Linked DNA regions of Ovis aries. The protein of the gene in region 1 interacts with the protein of each later gene in a pairwise test. Links are inferred from orthologs where the notes say so. Each region holds a gene or a part of one and is shown on either strand. Other genes may lie near its edges.

Region 1 (3,008 bases):
GGCCACTTTAGGGATGTAGCCTGGAGGTGGGTGCCACATCTTCACAAATTCTGCTGGCTAGAAATGGTCATGTGACTCTAGTAAGAACAATGGACAGCTGGGAAATGTAGTTCAGCTGTGCACCCAGGAGAGACGAGCTGTTTAATGAGCAGCTAGCTAGTCTTTGCCACTAATACTAACATTAATTCCTAAGGCTTTATTCCAAGTCTGGTTCTAAGAAAGCACTCTGATGACACGAAAAGTCAATCAAGTGGCTCATTGGAAGTTTCGGCTTAACTGCTTTTTAAAAGTTTGACATAACCTAGGAAAGCATACCTTCTATTCCAGCAATTCCACTTTTAGATATGTACCCACAAAACCCTCACACACATGGACCAGGATATGTGTATGAATGGTAATAGTAGTAAATAAGTCAATCTGATCATACCTAATGTAGGGTATAGTCACTCATGGAATTACATGCAGTATGGAAAAAGGAATGAATGAAAATGTTGCCGAATCTTAGTACCAGTGTTGAGAGGGAAGTTTCAGATTACATTTATCATGAAATTCTTCTTTATAAAATTCAAAACAGAAAAATTCAACAATATGTTGGCTGGGCACAATATATACAGGATAATGGTATATTTACGAGCGAAAAAGCACTTTACAATCTTAAGGGCTTTGAATTTGCATCTGTCTTGGGTAAACTCCGGGAGTTGGTGATGGACAAGGAGGCCTGGCATACTGCAGTTCATGGGGTCGCAAAGAGTCGGACACGACTGAGCGACTGAACTGAACTGAACTGACGCAGGTGTTCCAGACCGGGAAACAGGCATAGAGAAGTTGTCACACTCCAAACCTCATGGTTGGCCTCCAGAGCTTGAACCCTTGTGCGAGCTGGTGTCAACCAACTGGGTGGGCCATCGGGTGATTGTCATCTCTCCATCTGGTTGAAAAGTCACCCACCATTCTTCCCTGGGGCCCAGCCCACCTGGCTCCAGGGAGGCTCGCAGGCAGCACTGTCCTGGGCCTGCTGCATCCGGCTGCAGCCAGCACTGGGCAGGGAAATACCTCTGAAGGAGTGCCAGCTGCAGAGCATTTCCACTGTCTCCTCCTTCCTCTTGGGTCTGGAGGGCCACAATGAGCCCACAGCCCCGGCCAGGCCCAACCCGGTGGCTGAAGTGGACAGCTGTGTCCAGAAGCAGGGCAGCCAGGTAGGCGGCTTCCTGGGACCCAGGGTCTTCTACTAGGTATTCCTCCAGGCCATCAAGCAGCAACAGTGAAGGGGCTGGTCCACGGGCTTCATGGGCAGAGCACAGAAGCCGGAGGAGCTCACGGGTTGAGGGTGGGTACTGGAAGCGGATCTTCTAGAAAGGGAAAAAGGAAAGGGCCAGATTCAGCATGGGAAGCGGGGCTTCCAGTTAGAGCAGCGCTGCTTCCTTGCATACTCCCCTGGACGAGGCTCTCACCCACTAGACCTCTGGTTCGAGCGTGAAGCAGCTCAGAGGGATCGAATATTCTTCTGTTCACCAACCCCTTACCCTCGTTTTTTTCTTACCCTGCACTCGTCACTGCCTGGTATTATTAAGAACAGGTATGCCTTTCTGCCAAATCTCTAGGGCAATCTTTCCACGTAAAACCTGCCCATAGCGCCCGCCTCCACCGCGGACTCTTGTTTGGCTCCGCCCCTGACCCCACCCCTTGGAACGCAAATTTGTGGATCCTGCCCCCTCATTGGATAGCTTCTCACTCAATCTTAACAAGGCTTCGTATAGTCCCATCCCCAACTCGTCCATATTCCTTCCCACAATGTTTGCTTCGTCTCCGCCATTGGTCTGTCTCCGCCTGTCAGTCAATCCCCGATTAGCCCCGCTACGGGCTGGTCCGCCTCTGGTCCCCTACTTGTAATCGCAGTGGTTCGAGCGCCGGTCCAGTCCTGCGGGGCAGGCTTTGAAGAGGCCTCCGGGTCAGGAAGAGGACCGGGCCTCGGCCTTCCCCTGCCGCCTCCAGGGCCGCCGCGAATAGCAGAGCTGTCTTTCCAGAGCCTGGACCGCCGAGCAACAGCAAAGGCGGTTCGGCCTCAGCTGTGTTCTTCCCGGGGCCCGCCGCGCTGCCCAGGTTCAGCACTCGCCTCAGCGTCTCCGCCATTTGCCGCGTACTTCTGTTCAATCGGCGGCCGGTGCCTGCCCTTAATCCCGCCCAGGGCGGGGTCTCATTGGTTACAGTGCACTTAGCTTCTTCATTAGTCCAAAAATCTGTTCCTCAAAGTTAGATCGACGTTTCCTAGCTCCTCCCCTGGTGAAGGGGCAAATAACCTAGTTTGAGCAACAAATGGAGGCGTTTCAGGGCGATAAGGCCCTCTCGTAAGTGAGTCCGCTGGCGGAAGCACCACGAACACTATTATTGTGAGCTAAGCAGCTAATCAGACAATAAAAGGGTTGAGAGTTGGACGGAACAGGCCCTAATCACGGACACATTACTTAAAATCTCTGAGCCTCAGCTTTGCCCACCTATAGAATGGAGCACATGGTATCTCAGGAATACTGCGATGAACGTGTGTGTGCGCGCGCTTCTGCTGGTGTTACCTAATGACAGTGAAGGGGAGAAGTGGATAAGCTATGCGCTGTCTCTCTCTGCACTTGAATGAATGCTTGCACAAATGTGTGTGTGTTTGGGGTTGCAAGCTTGAGGATATTCATGTGCAGAACATCCGTCAGACCGCAAAGGAGTGCCTTTGAGGGTCTGTGAGAAGAGTCGCAGCTGGCTTCCTCATTGGCCTGGGGGCTTCTTGAGTCCTGCTTAGGGTACAATGAGAGGCAGGACCATAGAACAACAACAAAAAAAAGAGACAGAGAAAGAAGAGAGAGAAGAGGCAAAGATGCCGGGGCTGGGGGACTGAGGGAGAGCCACAGCAGGACCTTCTTTGTCATATTCACTTCAGTACCTCCAGCGCCCAGACAGTGCTTAGGGCATTGCAGAGTCTCCACAAAGGCTTGTTAAAGGAATGAATAAAGAAAGGTAGGATA
Region 2 (3,677 bases), on another chromosome or scaffold:
GGAGAGGAGCCTCAGGTTAGATGATGGACTGAAAGCCACCTCTCCGACTCGACCCGAAGGATTACCATCAGCAGCTTCTGAAAATTTATTTTAATTTGGAAAAAAACATAATACAGCAAAATCCCACATAATCGACCGCCCAGAATAAATGTTAACATGTTGTTTATAAAGAAGACTCTTTATATGTCAGAGGCCTTCCTGTTCTTCCTCAATTTCTTCATTCTCAAGGCAACCACACACATTTCATATTGTTTTTATATTTTACTATACACAGTATATATGTGTATGTGCATACATACACACACAAACATATATACATATGGTGATGTTTTCTAAGTTAAAAACATGAACAGTATATTCTGGGCTTTTTGGCAACTTTTTTTCCCATTCAGTGTGCTTCTGAGAATGATGCACATATATATGTGTGTGTGTGTGTGTGTATGTGTGCATGTATATATATACATAAACATATATTTTAAAATTTAACTTTTGGATAATATTCTAGTGTATGTACCTAGTACATTTTATTTCTTAAATACGCTTAGCCTCTCAGGAAACAGGCCTCCCCAAGCAGTGTATGTGTAAAAGTTGTTGTTCAAGGGTCAAATGTCCTTCTCTTTTCATGTGTTAGTAGTATAAGAGTTACACCTTTTAGAATAATGTTAAAATACAGTGGCACTTAGGACAATAAGGGAGTGCCTTGTACTGTCAAGTACAGTGCTGGTTATTCACTTGAGACAGATTTTTAACAATCACATCAATAAAATATTATTCCTAACTTAGTAAGAATATTTTCTAAAACAAAAAAAGAGTTGATGTTGAAAGAACTGGCCTTTAAAAACACACATTAGTGGTTTATAAAGAACCCCAAATACAAAAGGATATATACTTACGATAACAGATGCTCATCAGGAACTGTAAAACAGGAATGGAAAGTAAGTAAATTGTGTTAAACCAGTGACCAGAGACAAAAACATTTTTAAAAGGATATTATAACCAAAAAGACTTATGTGTAAGATGGTGAACTGAACCTATGCATCAAATTTTACTCAATATTCCACTAAACAATAATACAAGAATTTTCTAAAATGAATAAACTCTCAAGGATGAGGACAGGGAGAAACACAGCTAAGATATGTTCAAAAATTATTTACAAGACCTGAGAAAACTGAAACAAGTTAGCAATAGGAGAGCCAAGCAACAACCTGATTTGCACTTCAGACTCTAATACACTCACTCCCTAAAAAAAAAAAAACCCCTCCAGAAATTGGTGGCACCAGATGGCTCTGGAGTGGGAATGAAGCAGGAGGGCTAAAATAAGACTGTGAAAGTAAGTTTAAGTTGGAAGGTAGTAGAATACTACTTTAAGATGTCTGAGTAAATATTTCCAACATATAATTCAATAACACCTAGCCAAACTATCAATTAAGTCTCAGGACAGGAGAATATGTGCTCTATAAAATAAGACAGTAAACTGAGAAAAAGAAAACTGTACAGTATACAAAACATTAAGGCTCAAAGTAGGTAAAGGGAATTCCCTAGACAGTAATGGTGGGGGAGATCTCAGGAGAGCACCCTGGAAGCTCTAGAAGAAAATGAAATGGACAAAACACCTCAGCATCTTGAGTAGAGGATTCAGAACACTGCTAAGAGTTTGAAGTTGAATTATGGATGTGTGTGTGTTTGTGTTAGCCACTTAGTCATGTTTGACTCTTTTCGACCCTATGGACTGTAGCCCGCCAGGCTCCTGTCCATGGAATTCTCCAGGCAGGACTACTGGAGTGGGTTGCCATTTCTTTCTCTAGGGGATCTTCCTGACCCAGGGATCAAACCTGGGTCTCCTACATTGCTGGCAGATTCCTTACCATCTGAGCTAAAAGGAAGTTATTGAATTAGGGATAAACATATAGAAAAGTAAACAACCAAACAAATGCAATCATGACAGTTTTGAGAGGAAGCAAAAAGTTACAGTAAAGAAGTAGTCATCACTTACTACATGGCTCAGCTGTGACTATATTTTACATCATATAAGTGTAAACTCAGAATACTGATCTAAAGAAAATTATCGTCGAAGGAGGGGGCTCAGGAAGAGTGTATGACTGTCTAAGAACAAAGATTTTTAACTAGAAGAAAATGGCTCTGAAAAACGTGAATCGGTGATAGTAGTCTCTATGAGCCCCAAGCCTCAGGGGCGCCCCCTTCAAGACTCTCACACTGTGCTCTTCACACACAACCCTTTCTGGCAACCACTGTTTGAGCTGTCAACAGACTGGTTTCTCCCCCAAGCTTTTTGGGATTAGAGGATGTTCGAATACCTGGCTCGCCTCATCTTTTAAGCACATGTACTGCTTTAGATTTAACTGAAATGAGAAAAGTTGGCTTCCTCCTCTCAATTCTTTAAAAAACAAGTCAAGGTAAATCCTTTTCAAAGTGCGGTCCTTTGCAAACAAACGCCGCCCAAGTGAACCAGCAAGGTTCACTGAAGCCTAACCGATGTTTTGGATGGTCATTCAGATGGCGGCGGTGGCGCCAGCTCTAACGGGGACGCGCTCTGGCCCCGTGCGCTTGCGGCCAGGGGAGTCTGGTCACAGAGCGTCCTCTGCTGGTCAGAGGAATAAAGGCACAGCCACAGCGTCCAGACCCCTCAAGTCCTGCATCTGGGGCCCTGAAACAGTCACTCGTGCACAGAGGTCAGGAGGGGAACCTTTTGGAACAAACACAGACCGCGGGAAGGAAGGGCTACAGGCGAGTTAAGAGGGCGGAGACCTCCCCAGTGGGCCCGGACCCCCGAACCCCGTCCCGCCGGCGCTGCTTCCCGCGCCCCCGCCCATACTCGGCGCGCCGTCCCGCACAGCCGCCGCCATCTCGCTCAGCAGCTCCTCCACCACAGCTGGTAACGTGAGAGGCCCAGTCGGAGCCGCCATGGCGGTCCCGCGTTCTCCGGGGCAGGGGAGGAAGGCGAGGTGACGTAGACTTGCGTCCCGGCGCATGCGGGCGGTCCGGCCAATCGGCGGGCGTTCGGCGCCAGGGGCGGGACTTCCGGAGCCCGTGGCCGCAGTGCGCAGAGGACGCTCTGGGGGCCATGTACCGGCGTCTGGCTGTGGGCCTGGCCCGAGGTCTGTTGCGGGTGGCGGAACGGCGGGGCCGCTGCTACCCGGTGTGCCTGCTGCCCGGGCCGCCGGGAGTTCGGGCGCCGCCGTGCCGAGGGGCGCCGCGCGGCCGAGGCTCGGGCCTACTGCCGCTGCTGGCAGGTGAGGGGTGCAGGCCGGCGGGCCGGGCGGGCCGGGCTGGTTGGGCTGAGCACGGTGACCTCAGTGCCCCTTCCTGCAGCGCTCGCCTGGTCCTCGAGGCCCGCGGCGGCGGAGCAGGAGCGACGGGGCGCGGGCGGGGCTGCAGCCGGGGACGCCGAAGCCGAGATCATCCAGCTGCTGAAGCGAGCCAAGGTGAGGGGCTGCAGCACGTCCCTCGACTACGGGGACCCGGGTGGACGGAGTCGTGGGGTCCGTGCGTTGGGCGCAGGTGGAGGCGGCGCTGCCGGTTGCGAGGTTGCGAGCGCGGGGAGAAGTGCGCACAGGCTGAGGGGAGCGAGGCGGGCCTCTTCTTCCTGAACGTTTTCCCCTCTTCCCGGGGTGCCGGGTCTCCTCCTTTGCGCTGACCGCCGCCTCATGCCCACCGCG

The links.
Region 2: the proteins of SWSAP1 (region 1) and ZSWIM7 interact in binary tests that used the Homo sapiens proteins (3 or more experiments, as listed by UniProt). The link is inferred for Ovis aries from reciprocal best matches to the Homo sapiens genes SWSAP1 and ZSWIM7.

What each region holds. Positions count from the first base shown.
Region 1 is NC_056058.1:13,499,932-13,502,939, reverse strand, and holds SWSAP1 (ATPase SWSAP1), read right to left. Parts: upstream 2,146-3,008; 5' UTR 2,131-2,145; coding exon 1,885-2,130; intron 1,350-1,884; coding exon 843-1,349; 3' UTR 514-842; downstream 1-513. UniProt on the Homo sapiens protein: ATPase which is preferentially stimulated by single-stranded DNA and is involved in homologous recombination repair (HRR). Has a DNA-binding activity which is independent of its ATPase activity.
Region 2 is NC_056064.1:33,237,782-33,241,458, reverse strand, and holds the start of ZSWIM7 (zinc finger SWIM domain-containing protein 7), read right to left. Parts: upstream 2,952-3,677; 5' UTR 2,925-2,951; coding exon 2,834-2,924; intron 916-2,833; coding exon 894-915; intron 1-893. Other genes in the region: TTC19 (tetratricopeptide repeat protein 19, mitochondrial), read left to right, coding at 3,083-3,251, 3,331-3,443. UniProt on the Homo sapiens protein: Involved in early stages of the homologous recombination repair (HRR) pathway of double-stranded DNA breaks arising during DNA replication or induced by DNA-damaging agents. Required for meiotic progression, hence for fertility.